Linked DNA regions of Cricetulus griseus. The protein of the gene in region 1 purifies or fractionates together with the protein of each later gene. This does not show direct contact. Links are inferred from orthologs where the notes say so. Each region holds a gene or a part of one and is shown on either strand. Other genes may lie near its edges.

Evidence for each region.
Region 2: the proteins of Poc1a (region 1) and Nudc purify together in Homo sapiens (co-immunoprecipitation; 3 studies listed by BioGRID and IntAct, with this or other methods). This does not show direct contact. The link is inferred for Cricetulus griseus from reciprocal best matches to the Homo sapiens genes POC1A and NUDC.

The regions. Positions count from the first base shown.
Region 1 is NC_048597.1:214,480,272-214,488,469, reverse strand, and holds the start of Poc1a (POC1 centriolar protein homolog A), read right to left. Parts: upstream 4,117-8,198; 5' UTR 3,742-4,116; coding exon 3,724-3,741; intron 3,523-3,723; exon of another isoform or gene 3,365-3,522; intron 2,265-3,364; coding exon 2,180-2,264; intron 38-2,179; coding exon 1-37.
Region 2 is NC_048595.1:19,729,219-19,736,772, reverse strand, and holds part of Nudc (nuclear migration protein nudC), read right to left. Parts: intron 3,194-7,554; coding exon 2,990-3,193; intron 2,899-2,989; coding exon 2,833-2,898; intron 1,816-2,832; coding exon 1,504-1,815; intron 739-1,503; coding exon 655-738; intron 538-654; coding exon 419-537; intron 1-418. UniProt on the Homo sapiens protein: Plays a role in neurogenesis and neuronal migration. Necessary for correct formation of mitotic spindles and chromosome separation during mitosis. Necessary for cytokinesis and cell proliferation.

The DNA.
Region 1 (8,198 bases):
TGCCAAATCATGAGGCATGAGTCCATGGAGCCGCTGGCTGAGGAGAGTGGGTAACACGATGATTCTCAGACCTCAAGAATCTTGATCACCTACCACATTGCTAGGAATACAGGAGAGCAGGCCCAGCTCTACCTTCACAGCATCCCCAGCAGAGCAATGGAAAGAATCCCAGTGGGAGTGCCCACACCCTATAACTGCTGACATACAGTTTGGAGAGCTAGGGCCTGGCAGTTTTCCATGCCAACATAGGAACCAGAGTGACAGGCCATTCACATGCCATTTCTGTACTGTGGGGTCTCCTCATTGATACTCTGAGAGCACAGGGCGAAGTCCTCCCAATACTCAGGAGCCAGTCAGACAAAGGTCATTTACTATTGAAAGGACCAACTTGGTTGGGGCTGGAGAGATGGTTCAGCAGTAAAGAGCACTTGCTGCTCTTCCAGAGGATCTGGGTTCAATTCCCAGCAATCACATGGTAACTCACAACAATCTGTAACTCCAGTTCCAGGGAAGCCTATGTCCTCTTCTGGACTCTGGGGGCAACAGGCACACTTGTGGTACACAGACATGCATGTAGGTAAAACATTCATACAAATAAAATAAGACAATCTAAAAATAAATTAAAAAAAAAGAAAGAACAGACAAAAAAATGACTTCAGTTCCCTTTTTGCTTACAGCAAACCATTACACCAACAGCCTCTGGCAGGAAACCTTAACAATAAGATAAAGAAGCAAGCTGGGAAGTGGTATAATACCAGGACTTGGGAGGCAGAGGCAGGTGGATCTCTGTGAGTTATGAGGACAGCCTCATAAAATGAGCCTCATAAAATGAGCTCCAGGACAGCCAAGGCTACACAGAGAAAACCTGTCTCAAAAAACCAAAAACAAACAAAAAAGATAAAGTGGCAAGCCTAATCCGTGGAAAAAGAAATCTGCAGCCAGAAAGCTACTTAGGAACACCAGTGTATATAAGAAAGGGACAGCAGTATGGAGTTGGGAGATGGACCTTGTTAACAACTTTCTCACTAGTAGTAGGTACAAGAAAATATACCATATTACTGTGGACAATCAAACTGAAGATTCAAGGAAAAGGAGCCAGTTTGGGATCCCTGCCACAGAGCAGACCCAAGAAGTGGCCAAGATGTACAGGGGAAAACCTAGACCCTAATCTCTCAAAGGATGCCTGACCAGCACAGAGCCTGCATGGGTCTGCACCAAGGCCTCTGTATATATATTACAGCTTCCAATTTAGTGTCATTATGGGATTCCTGAGTGTGTAGAACAAGTGTGTCTCTGATTCTAGTGCCTTCTTCTTGGGCTCTTTTCCTTGTTTTGTTTATGCAACTCTAATATGAGAGTTTTTGTTTGATCTTAATGTATTTTATTATCCCTTAGAAGCCCGTTCTTTTCTAATGAGAGACCAAAAGGGAGTGGATCCAGATGGGAGGAGAGGTGGGAAGGATCTGCCAGGAGTAGAGGGAGACAAAACCATAACCATGATATATTTTGTGAGAAAAAGAATCTTTTGGGGGGGGGCTGGAGAGATGGCTCAGAGGTTAAGAGCACTGACTGCTCTTCCAGAGATCCTGAGTTCAATTCCCAGCAACCACATGGTGGCTCACAACCATCTATAATGAGATCTGGTGTCCTCATCCAGCCTGCAGGCATACATGCAGGCAGAACATTGTATACATAATAAATAAAAAAAAACTTAAAAAAAAGAATCTTTTTTAAAAAATAATTTATTTAACTTTATTTTATGTGCATTGGTATAAAGGTGTCACATTCCCTGGAACCAGAGTTACAGATGTTTTAAACTGCCATATGGGTGCTGGGTCCTCTGAGCCATCTCTCCAGCCCCCGAAAAAGAACCTTTTTAATAAAAGGCATAAATAAATAAATAAATAAATAAATAAATAAATAAATAAATAAATAAATGCTGTATGACCCTGACAGGGCTCCTAACATCTCTGAGCGTTATACTCTTCTCATGCACAATGGGGCTTATGGAACCTAGTAAGCCCAGTGTTCAGAAAGCTGACACGGAGAAGCAATACAAAGGACCAAACAGCATGTCCTTGCTGTAGCCTAGCGTTGGCATACCAATACTCCCAGGGAGAAACTCAGCCTTCTCAGTTTAGAATCTAAAATCTTAGACAAGATAGATGCCTTCTCTTACCCAGCTGCTTAGTGTTGAGACTGAAGTCCACACTGGTAACTGCATCTCGGTGGCCCTTAAAATGCCTCTCCAGTGAGGGGTCCTCCTGAGGGAGAGAGCAAGGTCAAATGGAAAAAGCCTGAGGAAGGGGTTTCTCTGGGACCAAGACTCTTCCTATAACTAGATTATGTATATAACTAGTTGATATATATGTATATATATCAAGGATATAACTTGAGTGTTTTTAACATCACACACACATATATACATACATATCTTGTTTTTGGAAATCCTAAGGAATTCACTATAAACTATTAGAATAAATGAGCACAGCAAGGAAGGGTACACAATCAACAAATACACCATGAACAGACAGATGAATCAATAAATCCACAACAAATAAACCAAATATGGGCCAAGTGAGGTGCCACATACCTTTAATCCCACTCAGGAGGCAGGGCAGGTAAATTTCTGTGAGATCTAGGCCAGCCTGGTCTACACAGTGAGTTCCAGGCTAGCCAAGGCTAAATACAAGACTTTGGGAGTTATATCTCAGCCATAGTAAGTTATCTTCCTCCACCTCAAGCATCAAAAACTTCAAAAAACAAAACAAAAAACAAACAAACCCCAAACATTTTAGGAGCTCCGAGGAACCCAGTTTGGGAAAGGGCATTCCTAAGGCATAGCAAAGCCACTGTTACTCCATAAACCTGTACACAAAACAAAGGTGAGGCACAGTGCCCAGCTCCGCCCCCAACACACCTGCAGGACCACGCCTTTTAACAGATGGAGTGGTAGTTAGGGGCAGAGAGGACGGCCTCCAACTAAGCAGCAAGTGCCCCATTCTGCCTCCTGTCCTCACCTGAGGACCTCACCTCTTGGAAAACTAAGGGCAAGGCAGTGCCTATCCTAGGCTCAGTGTGCAGAAGAGCACCCCTTCCGGAGGCCCTCTTCCCTGAGTAGTTTCCTGCATGCCGGCCTCCTCTCCCCTAAAAACAGTGTGTTGTTACGGATGTAAACAGAATATCAGATTGCCAGTCAAGAGTCTGTGTTCTATTTTTGCCCAAGTCTTCAGATGCGTCAGGAGCCACCGGCTACCACCTGGCCAGAGCACCAGGAACTTTGGAAGCAAACTCTTACTTAAAACACCAATTTGGAGTCCTTTTCTGCACTGGAAAAGGGGTCAGGGTCGGACCCAGGTCATACCGCAGGCCTCCGACACCTCAGGCATCCCAATGGCCTACTGCTTCCACTGGTTGGAAAAGATGCCGCCTCCAAGTAGACGCGAAGGACAGGAGAGGATGACGAGGCTCACACTGGTCCGGGGCCACGACAAGGGTCGGGCCTTGCTTGTGTCTTCCTCTCTAAGCCGTAAATCCCAGAGACAGGGACTTGTTTGTTCGCCCGGGTGGTCCAGCATTTAGCCTGGCACTTGGGGCGATGGGTCAATGCCCAGCCCCACCCCGACCTTAGATGGAGAAGCAACCCCAGAACCCCGCGCCACCACCCGGTCCTCTCGCGGCCATTGCTCCAGGCAGCTAGGCGCCCATTCTCCAGGGACTTACCGGGCTGGGACCGGCCATGGAAGGGTTGGCAGGGCTGGCAGAACCAAAGGCACCCCAAAAACCCGAGGTAGCTGCGGCGGCAGTTGTGCCAGTTCAGTTTCCGCGCCCCCAATCGCCGCCAATAGCAACGCCGGTGGCGTCGCCGCGTCCCGCCCAATTAAAGGAAAAGAGCCCTAGGTTTTTGCCCGTCGACCGGAAGTAGGGCCGCTCTACAGGCGCCACGCTCTCTTCCTCCAATTCCGCCAGATGAGGTGACCCGCCGAGCAGCCAAAAGCTTCAGTTCGCCGTCACTCCTTCCGTCTGAGAACTTAAAAAACCCTAGAAGAAGGTTTCGTCCCTTCGGCTCATCGCCTAGCTCGGGTAGCAGAGAGCGTAGCCTTTCGGGAAATGAAGTTCTACATAGCACTTACCCTACAATCTTAATAAAGGTAGAACTACATTTCCCGAGATGCCCCGGAGTGGGCGGAGCTTTAACATTCGGAGTGAAGGCCTTAAGGATCCCGGAAAGAGGCCACTAGTGCTGTCTTAAAGCTTCAAGGGCGCCATTGAGAACCTTAGTCATTCTCCCCTCTGGACCACAGAATGGTTCGTTCCTCCGAAAGGTCTTAAGTGTCTATTTAAAAGTACTGGAGTCATTCAGAATCACAGCCATGGAGTAGTGAGACCTATGTTCAATTCTTAATTCTCTACTCGTTTTACTGGGTGGCCTCAGGAAAAAGATATCTACTCTAAGGGCAGTCTCTCATTTTGTCCTAAAAGTAAATGTGATTACAGCCCTGCCTTCTCAGAACTCTTCAGCCTTGAGAAGCCTTTACATACTCTGTCTAAAAAAAATTAATATATGGGCTGGAGAGATGGCTCAGGTTAAGAGCACCGACTGCTCTTCCAAGGGTCCTGAGTTCAATTCCCAGAAACCACGTGGTGGCTCACAGCCATCCGTTATGAGATCTGGTACCCTCTTCTGGTGTGCAGATATACATGGAAGCAGAATGTTGTATACATAATAAATAAATAAAATCTTTAAAAAAAAAAAAAAAGAAAGTTAAGCCGGGCATTGGTGGCACACGCCTTTAATCCCAGCATTCGAGAGGCAGAGAGGCAGGCAGATCTCTGTAAGTTCGAGGACAGCCTGGTCTCCAGAGCGAGTGCCAGGATAGACTCCAAAGCTACACAGAGAAACCCTGTCTCAAAAAACCAAAAAAAAAAAAAAAGTGTAGTCTGGGGATAATCTAGAGAGAGAGAGAGAGAGAGAGAGAGAGAGAGAGAGAGAGAGAGAGAGAGAGAGAGAGAGAGAGAGAGAGAGACGCAATCCTCCGCCTGGCCAGCAGAGGCCATCCTTTCTCACTTCCCTCAGTGAAAGCCGAGAAGGCCCTTAGTGACCTTTTTTCCACCTGCGCTTTCCAAGGGAATCTTCCCAACATGCACCTGACCTGAACTGTATGCTTTGTAAGATTCAAGAACCTTCCATCACCTATCCTGAGCAAGCCAACTTGTTCATACTCCAACACTAATTAGTGTCTGGATGTGTCCTGAGGTTTCTTACCACATGCCTAGACTTGAGACTGTGTCCCTAAATCTTCAGGGACAGTAAACTCAGGAAACTGTCATGTGGAGAAGTGTATTTGGACCTCAAAGAATGATTCATTGGCTAAGAGTGTATATGGCTGTCACAGGGGACACAAGTTCTATTCCCAATACCTATGTCAGTTGGCTCACAACTGCCTGTAACCCCAGTTCTAAAGCAATTCAACACCTCAGGTCTCCTAGGACACCTGTACTCACATGCATAGACACAAAAAATATTTTTAAAATATCTTGAGGAGAGATGCAAGAAGTGGATATATATCTGATGCTGTTTTAACAATGTTGGCATAGAATTGGTTCCTTTAGGTTAGAAATATTTAGGCCAATTTAATATAGACACTGTGAAATTCCCAAGACAAAAATAGTTGATCACCTACACAATCTGCTCTGGATTGTTCAGCACTGTTCAGAGAACAGTTTCCCAGTCTCCCCATAACAATATTCAGTTGTTCTCTTGTCTGTGTCATGAACACACCATGCCAGAAACATGATGGACACATCTGAATATTTCTATAATGTCAACATGTATTGAACAACAATAAATTCACAAGCTATGTCACTTTGTTGTTGTTTTGTTTTGTGAGATAGGGTCTCTATCTTATACTGGAACTTACTCTGTAGACCAGCTAGCCTCCCACTCACAGAGCTCCCCCTGCCACTTCTTCCAGCAGTCCACAGGTTCTTTTATTTTTACTTTTTAAGATTTATATGAGCTGGGCAGTGGTGGCGCACGCCTTTAATCTCAGCACTTGAGAGGCAGAGGCAGGAGGATCTCTGTGAGTTCAAGGCAAGCCTGGTCTACAGAGCTACAGAGCAAGTCCCAGGATAGGCTCCAAAGCTACACAGAGAAACCCTGTCTCAAAAGAAGAAGAGAAGAAGAAGAAGAAGAAGAAGAAGAAGAAGAAGAAGAAGAAGAAGAAGAAGAAGAAAGAAAGAAAGAAAGAAAGAAAGAAAGAAAGAAAGAAAGAAAGAAAGTCTTTATTAGCTGTCTGACAACTACACTGGGCGTTTGGGATCCCAGTGTAGCCCTGAGCCTTTCTCAGGGAGAGCTTTAAAGCACAAAACCATGTTCTGGGTTGACATTCTTCAGTTAACAAGAACAGTTAACCAGAAGAGGAACTACAGAAGCCAAATAGCAAGATTTAATCCATTTAGAGACTTCTCCAGAACTGTGGACTTTAGGCTTTTGTTTTAGTTTTGGCAGGTGGGGCTATTTATGTGCTGAGTTTTACAGCCTGAATGGTACAGTACTTCTGTCATGAGGTCTGGAGCCCTGTTACAAGAAGGGTCTCATGTAGCCCAGACTGGCCTCTTGACCACTACATAGCTGAAGACAACTTCGAACTTCAGATGATCCTGCTTCCATTCTGGGAGTATAGGCTTGTACTATCATGTTTGGTTTATACAATGGTGGGGATTGAACCCAGGTATTCATAAATGCTAGGCAATCACTGACCCAACTGAGCCCCATGATCCCAATCTTAATTGCTAAGATTAATTCAGATCTCTTACTTTTACATAACAATATATTTGTAAATGTATGTGTATACATAAATATATGCACACACAATGTATTACATAGGTTACAAAATGACTACAAAAGAATTTAAGAGGCTACAGCATCATTCAAAGAAGCCTTGCTGGAAGGAGAGGTGGAGAGCTGATACAGATGCAAGGAGTTATTGCACGTTTTTATATGTGATATTAGTGAACACAGTTGGAGAACTGCTGGAGGGTCTTAGAGCCTGGCTTCACAGCCAAGCTGCGGAGGCGTAGGGGCTGCAGAGGCACAAGACCCTCCTAGGTATGGGTGGACAAACAGGCATGGCTGTCTAAATGGGTCGAGTTAAACAGAGGGAATCATGATGAGGACAGTGAATTCTCTGTTGAATTCTTGACACGTGTATTCTGTGATTGGTTGACTGGTCACTGAAAGGTGTTAGGCATTCTTTTTAGGGGACCCAGATGAGGCTGTTGTACCCTTCATTGGTCTACTCTGTTTGAAAAGTTCTCAAGGGGCTGGCATGATGGCGCATGCCTTCAATCTCAGCATTTAGGAGGCAGAGGCAGATTGATGTGAATCTGAGGCCAACTATTCCCAGAGCAGCCAAGGTTGCACAGTGAGACCTTGTCTCAAAAATAACAGCAACAAAGACAACAAGTTCTCAGCCTGGTGTTTCTGATGGAGTTGGATTGTTTTGCTTTGTTGCTGGGGTGGGGTGGGGGGTGTTTTGGGGTTTTGTTGTTGTTGTTGTTGAGACACGGTTTTGCTGTGTGTAACCCTGGATGTCTTGGAACTCACTCTGAGGACAAGGCTGGTCTTGAACTCACATAGATCTACCTGCCTCTGCCTCCCGAGTGCTGGGATTAAAGGCATGTGCCACCATGCCCAGCTCTGTTAGGGTTTTAAATTTGAATGTACCTGTGTATTCCCACTCTGCTTTGATAAGGTCACAGGTGGTAACTTTTGTTTTGTTTTGTTTTGTTTTTTGAGACAGGGTTTCTCTGTGTAGCTTTGGAGCCTATCCTGGCACTCACTCTGGAAACCAGGCTGGCCTCGAACTCACAGAGATCCGCCTGCCTCTGCCTCCCGAGTGCTGGGATTAAAGGTGTGCACCACCAATGCCCGGCATAAGTAGTAACTTTCTACTTGCAGGAATAAGATGTTTATCATTCTGTATGTCATGGTTGTGACAGGTAGTGATAGTCTACACGCACAAAGAAATATAGAGTCCTTCTGCCTTTATGTTTGTATTCACAATAAAGCCAGCTACTGCTGTGTAGCATGGAATCACCTAGGGCAGGATATTACTGGACAGCCACTCTCACACATTGTGGAGTAACTTAGAGCAGGGCACAGCCTGATCTCCATAGCCAGCTAAACATTCCTG
Region 2 (7,554 bases), on another chromosome or scaffold:
GGGCCTAACCTCCTCAGAACCCTGAAAACACTGGGCTAAGCCACATGGGGCCTCAGATAGCTGAAGCCTGTTTGAGCCCTCGAGGCTGGGAGTGGGACGGGCCAGCAGTAGCACCAGTTTCCAGTAGGTGGCAATGACCACCTCTTACCTATTGCTTCCTACTCTTAAGGTAGCCTTGTCCTGGAGATGACCCTGGCAGGTGGTCAGCACAGGCAAGCCAAGGCCACAGAACCATGAACTTGGCTGGCTGTGCTGGAAGTGGACAGGACAGTCTAGAGTCCCATTCAGTATTTGGTGATACCTTGTTTCTCTGACCCCCAGATGGGCTTTATTTGTAGAAGCAAGATATTAATTACCACACTGTTATCTCCCAGGCCTAAGTCCCCAGAGCAATCCTCCCTGACCCTGAGTTACTTACTTCTTCAGGATTTCCTGTTTCTTCTGTTCATCAGAGGTGGGCAATCCCATGGACTTCTGCCTTTGGTCATACATCATTTTTTCCACCATGCTGCGAGTCTCACTGTCCAGGTCTGACAGCTAGAGAGGCAGGGAGAGGGATGAAGCAAGCACTGGACCAACTAGCCCTCAACTTCTACAACAAGCTTCCCAGCCAACCGGGACTCACAACAAGCTTCCCAGCCAACCGGGACGCACCTTGGAGTTCTCAGGATTAATCTTCTTGGTATTGATTTCGGGGTCACTGGTAACCAGGCGGTTCCACCATTCCATTTTATTGATCTGAGAGGAGGAAGGTTTCCAATGGGGAAACAAAGCTCTGTGACTCAGGAATTATACCTCAATCCCTTTAGAACTAAACTCCTCCCATCCACATCTTGTATCCAAGCCCCATGCAGGCCTGTGCTGGGAGCAGGGTACAGAAGATCTGGACCTCTATCCACCCAGCAGCCAGGGGAAGACACAGGCCAGCAGTTACAAATCAATGCATCAGGGCAAGCCAGTGTGCCGTGGCCACTCCATGGAGGAGAGGCTAGCGTAACTTAAGGTATTAGCAGTAAACAAGAAGGAAGGGAAAAGAGCAAATAAGAAAGGAGACTCTGGCTGGGAGGAAACCCCGTACAAGGGCAGAGTGAGCAGCAGCCGAGTCACCTTCTGTGCCAGGGGAAGCTTGGACTCTTGGCCCTTTGCAGACACCACCTTTATTTACCCCAGTAAATACCCTACCTCTAGGAAGACAATGTGGACTCTATGAGGGCAAATTCTTCTACCATCTGTTCACTGTTCTCCAGTCCTGAGAACAGTGCCTGGCACACAGTAGGTGTTCAAGCATGTGTGGAACTGAACCCACGTGCAAGCATGATGGGAAGGAACAGGATTGACACAGAAGACCTGACTCTGCCTGCCCTGCCCTAAGCAAGCCACACAGCTGAATCCAAGCTGTTTCCTGACTACAAAGCAAGGGCGGAGTGAGGAGTGAGCCCCGAAGGCCCGCAACACTGTCAGAGGAAGTCAGTCCGCACCCTGGCCAGGCAGCGCCTCTCGTACCTTCTCCAGATGCACCGTCACCACCTTGCCGTCTTCAATGAGCCACGAGCTCTCCTCCACCTTTACTTCATTGTACAGCTCTCCGTCAATCACCGGCGGCTGCCCCTTGAGGCCCACCCGGAGGTGCCGCCGCTGGATGTCCACCACCACATCCTTCCCTTTCAGCCGGAAGCTGACTCGGAAGGGCACAGCCAGATCTAGTTCCGACAGGGTCTGGGTCCAGCGGTAGTTGGGCAGGTCAGCCCCGTTGCCCAGGTTGGGCTTCAGCTTCCCTTTGTCCTTCTCATCTTCCTCCTCCTCCTCTTCAGCATCCTGCTCACAGTCAGAGGTGCTCAATGACTTACCTGACAGACCAGACTTCCACCAGGCCAGGCCCAGAACTGCCACTGGACACAACAGCCACAAGAGAGCAGACCTAAGCATTGCACACCTACACACCCTGGGTCACTGGGAACCAAAGGTAAAAACCAATCCTGAAATGTATCCTGTGAGAAAGGATATGGCAGAGCTCACTGCCCCGCCCCTCAGCCCACCCTTCCTGGTGCCCTCTGACTTGTGAGCGGTTTTCAGAGATATTTTGCCAGCATGTATGCATGTGTACCGTGTGCATGCCTGGCACCCACAGAGTACAGAAGAGGGCATCTAACTGAAGTTAGAGATGGTTGTGACCATGTGGGTGCTGAGGACCAAACCTGGGACCTTTGCAAAAGCAACAAATGCTCCTAACCACTTTTCAGCCCACTTGTGGGTTTTCTTGTCCCAGGATTAAGGCCAATCATCAAAAAAATTATCACCATCATCAACGGCATCTCTCTACATAACCCTGGCTGCCCTGAAACTCAGAGATCCGCCTACCCCTGCCTCCTGAGTGCTAGGATTAAAGGCTCGTGCCACTATGGCTGGGTTGAAGAAAAAAAAAAAAAAATTTTAATATTTTTGAAATAGGTTCTCGGGGGCTGGAGAGATGGCTCAGTGGTTAAAAGCACTGACTGCTCTTCCAAAGGACCCTGGGTTCAATTCCCAGCAACCACATAGCAGCTCACAGCTGCCTGTAATTCCAGTTCCAGGGAACCTGACACCCATGGCAAAAAAAAAAAAAAAAAAAAAAGCACATAAAATAAGATTTAAAAAAAAAAAAAAGGTTCTCACTATATAGCCCATATTTACACCAATTTTTCTGACTCAGCTCCCTAAATGCTGAGATTACTGGTGTGGACCACCACACTAGTTCTGTTTTCAATGTTTGGGAAGAGTCCTCAAGGCTGGGGGCAGGAGAGGGGAGGAGAGAATCCCGTTGAAGGGAGGAAGCTGGTGCCAGGTCTATCTTACCTGTTTCCCAGGTGAGTCGAGACTGCCATTTTTGAGTTGGACCTCATGATTCTCTGCATCCTTTTTCTGTGACAAAGGGTACACAGTTGGAACAGAGCCCTACTTCCCAGGACTGATGCAGTCAGGGAGGGGGCAGAGGAGGGACACTCGGCCTCACCCGATCAATCTCCAGCTGCAGCCTCTCGGCCTCCTCATCAGTCAGCTCCTTGATCTGCGGCCCAGGAGTCTCTGCCTTGGCCTCCTTGGCCAGCCTGGCTGCCCGCTCTGCCTTCTCCTGACGTTCAGTCTCCTGCCGAGCTCGCTTCTCTCTCCGAGCCTTCTGTGCCAGCTGGTTGTGGTGGTTAAAGGTCTGCGTGATGAGCTGGGGAGGGCAGTGAAACATCAGAGCAGGGACAATGTCTTAAGGCCTAGGGACAAAGCCCTGCTCACCTCTGCCTTGCAACTGGTGCCAGGTACACAGCTGTGCACTGGTGAGGAGGGTGCTGGTACTGCTTCTGTTACAAACAGATCTCAAGCTCAGTCCCTTTAAGAAGCCTGCCCTAGCACCCAGGTCTACATTTCCTGTTCCTTGGCTGTCTCTCTGCCCCAGATGGCAGCACTCAAAGTCACACTCAGAATCAGCAAGTAGACCCCTCCCCTCCCAAGGGAAGAATCTATTTTCCTTCCTAAACAGAGAACTTCCAATTTCAAGTTCTTTCATGTCCACTGAGCAAGTATCCCATGATGCTTTAACCCCAGGACCTGCTAGATGTCCTCCCTGCCACCCAGGACTCCCCACCTAGCACCTGCCACAGGTCTGAAGAACGACCTGAGTCATCTCAGTCTCTCTGTAAACACAGCCTCGGCAAATGCTGTTCTCACCTAGAATGAGCTCTTTGTCTTACTGGTCAGTCTCCAGGACCAGCTCAAATGTCTCTAGCCGACTCTGAACAGACCCTACTGCAACTCTGTGGCCACCCACACTTCATACAAAGTGCATACCTAAGGAGTCCCCAGGGCAACCACCCCGTGATCAGTGCTCAATGAACCATATTCCAAGCACGTCTGCACCTAAGCTGGAAGGAGGCGCAGTCACAGAAGTCTCCTATACCCAAGGTTCTGTCAAATGTCCCCAGACTCATTCATCTGTGACCCTCCCTTCCAATCCCCAGCCCCATGCCTCACTGAGATAGCTTCAGACTTTGCAAGCAAAGAAGACACCACAGTGCCAGCAAGCTTAAGAGTAATGACGGGGGTTGGAGAGATGGCTCAGTGGTCAAGAGCACTCGCTACTCTTCTATAGGATCCAGATTTCAATTCCCAGCACCCACGTTACAGCTCATAGCTGTCTGTAACAACTGTTCCAGGAAATCTGATTGCCACATACAGACATACATGCAGGCAAAACACCAATACATATAAAATAAAATAAGTAAACTATTTCTTTAAAAAGGAGTAATAATGGGAGTGAAAGAAACAAGGAACTCAGAGGCCATGCTGCTGAGGAGAGAAACAGGTCATGAAGCAACTGCAAGAGACTGTTCCACCAAAGGGCCTTGTCCCCAGTTTCTAATCAGGGGGACCTTGAACTCAAGCCATTTGACAATCACTGGCCAAGGAGGGACAGGAACAGGGCCCTCCCTCTTCTAGCCCCATAAATCATGTCACAATCCACTTGTCCTATTACTTCCTAGCCACTGGAGGTTAAAAGAGGACAGACACGAGCCACCAGGCAATGTCAAAGCCAACCAGAACAGCCTCTGACCCTTCTTGCCAGTCCCCTCCCACCATAGGCTAGAGGTGGCCTATGCAGCAGAGGTTGTAGAGGTCTCGAGTCAAGCTTCAGCCACTGACACAGGGTTAGGAGCCACAGGCTGGCAGGCGGGACAGAGTGAGGTATTCTGGACCTGGTGGGTTGAACACAGGTGTTTTTTCTTTTTTCTTTTTTTTTTTTTTTTTTGGGGGGGGTTGAGGTAGGGTTTCTCTGTGGCTTTGGAGCCTATCCTGGAACTAGCTCTTGTAGACCAGGCTGGTCTCGAACTCAGAGAGATCCGCCTGCCTCTGCCTCCCAAGTGCTGGGATTAAAGGCGTGCGCCACCAACGCCCGGCGAACACAGGTGTTTTCTTAACAGAACTGATGGGGATAAGAATGGTTCCTAGTCTGGAAGGGCACACTGCAGAGCCACTTATGCCTAACCCAAAGAAAGGCCGAGAGCCTGACCTTGATCACTCTCAGGGTTAGTAACACTTGACAAGCAAAGGACCACAGAGGGATGCTCAGGGTAGCAGTGGACCACAGAGGGATGCTCAGGTTACTCAGGGTAGCAGTGGACCACAGAGGGATGCATCATCTGGTCAGGGTGCTCAGGGAGACAGTGTCCTGTTGATTCTGTCTTTTGGCCCTGCCTACCCCACCATCTGTCTCCCTTTCCCAGATTGTGTTAGAGCCGCATACCTGGCTCCTGCCCTTTCTCAACTTTCAAGTTGCCCCACAGGCCCCAGATTTCTCAGCAAGGATATGCCTAGAGTTGGGATGGGAGAGATACAGAGCCAGCAGCCTTTACCTAAGGAACAGGCAGAACCAACATGGCTTCTCTCCACCCTTACCTGTTGTGGGATATTTGTACACTGAAGACGTGTCATTGTGATTGGTTTAATAAAGAGCTGAATTTCCAATAGCTAGGCAGGAGAGAATATGCAGCAATTCTGCGGAGAGAATTCTAGGAAGGAGAGGCAGGGAGATGCCAGGGAAACTCTTAAGTTGGACACACGGTACAGAGCAGAAGTGACTGAGCCACATGACAAATGTAGATTAATACAGACAGGTTCATTTAAGTTAGTTTTAAGAGCTACTTAAGGAAAAGCCTAAGCTAAGGCCAAGCTTTCAGAATTAATATTAAGTCTCTGTGTCCTTACTTGGAGGCTGCCAATCCAAAGATAGTCAGACAAGGAAGCTTGCTACACTCCCACACCCCACAAACCAGTACCCCAGCAACTTTCTCCTAGGAAGCTCCTCATTTTGAGTGATAACTGTCATCCAAGTGACCAAGGCCAGAGCAAATAGTCACCCATGAAGACCCACCTGGTACCAGCCTTACACAGAATGGCCCACTACTTCCTAGCACGCAGCCTATGCGCTCAGCCTCTGCCCAGGTCCTTCTATCTGGCCTGCAAAGCGAGCGAGCGAGCGTGCGTGCGTGCGTGCGTTTGTGTGTGTGTTCATGCAACTTTTTCTTTTAGTAACTTCCACAGCTCTTCATTTACTATTGTTGCTTCCTTTACTTGGGACAGCCTTGTTTGGTCCAGGGCTAGCCCTGCCCCATTGAGGTGGCTTTCAGGGCACCTTTTGTTTCTTACCAAGTCAAATTCCCTGTCTTGTGAAGAACAAGGCCCCTGACCTGCACCTCACCCTGCCATCAGCACCTCCTCACTTGAGTGGCATCATGACGACTATGCCCATGCCCTCCAGAGACAGATGATACCTCTCTTTGTAGCAGTTCAACCATTTTTCTGAACGCAGGGGAATTTTACAAGACACCTCTTTTTTTTTTTTTTTGAGACTGGGTTTCCCTGTGTAGCTTTGGAGCCTGTCCTAGAACTCGCTCTTGTACACCAGCTGGTCTCGAACACACAGAGCTCTGCCTGCCTCTGCCTCCCAAGTGCTGGGATTAAAGGAATGCACCACAACCACCCGGCAGTACAAAACACCTTTCATTAAGCTGCTAACTAGGAAGTATATCTATTCAAACATTTATAAACAAAGGAAGCAGGGAAGGCTAACCTAAGTAAGCTAGGTAGAGGGAATCAGGGAAGAAGGTGACAATAGCCTGACAAACTCCCAAGATGGAAGTTGACAGCAGTTTACACGGGGCCTGATAGGGAGGCTCATGCTAGGATCAAAAGCAAAACAAGCCTGTGTCCTGTAACAGATATCCCTCTTGATTGACTTGGTAACAACCCTGGAACATGTTTACTCAAGCCCATGAGATTTTTTTTTTTGGTTTTTCGACACAGGGTTTCCCTGTGGCTTTGGAGGCTGTCCTGGAACTAGCTCTTGTAGACCAGGCTAGTCTCAAACTCACAGAGATGCGCCTGCCTCTGCCTCCCGAGTGCTGAAATTAAAGGCGTGCGCCGCCACGCCCGGCAATGAGTAGAGAAAAAACCCACCTCGTGAGTCACCTTGAAAACATACTAGTAATTATTCTGAAAGCAGAAACATGGGCTCTTCCTGCACAGAAGCAAAGAGTGAGTGATGGGAAGCTTCTCCAGATAAAGGAAAGAGGTAGAACAATGATAGGTCCATAGGTATAGGCATGACCAAGAACTGACAGCGCCAGAGAGAAACCACTTCTGTCTATCTACAGTGTAGTTCTAGGGAAGAAAAAGAAACCCTGCACCCGCAAGGTGGACGTGAGCTACAGTAAAGAAACCAAGTCTTTGTCCCAGGTTCCCGGCACAAAACTCCTAAGTCCTTGGTACTTCCAAGCGGATGGATCTTGATAGGAAGAATCTTGATAGACTTGATAGACCTGTCTGTTAGAATCCCATCTCATAGCTCAGGACTGGTAGACTGCTAGGAAGACTCAGCGAGAACTGAGGCTGGATCTTACAAGCCACTCCCCAGTGGGCTTTTAGTTTAAGATCTCATGCTGGGCATGGTGGTGCACGCCTTTAATCCCAGCACTCGGGAAGCAAAGGCTGGTGGATCTGAGTTTGAGGCCAACCTGGTCTACAGAGCGAAAC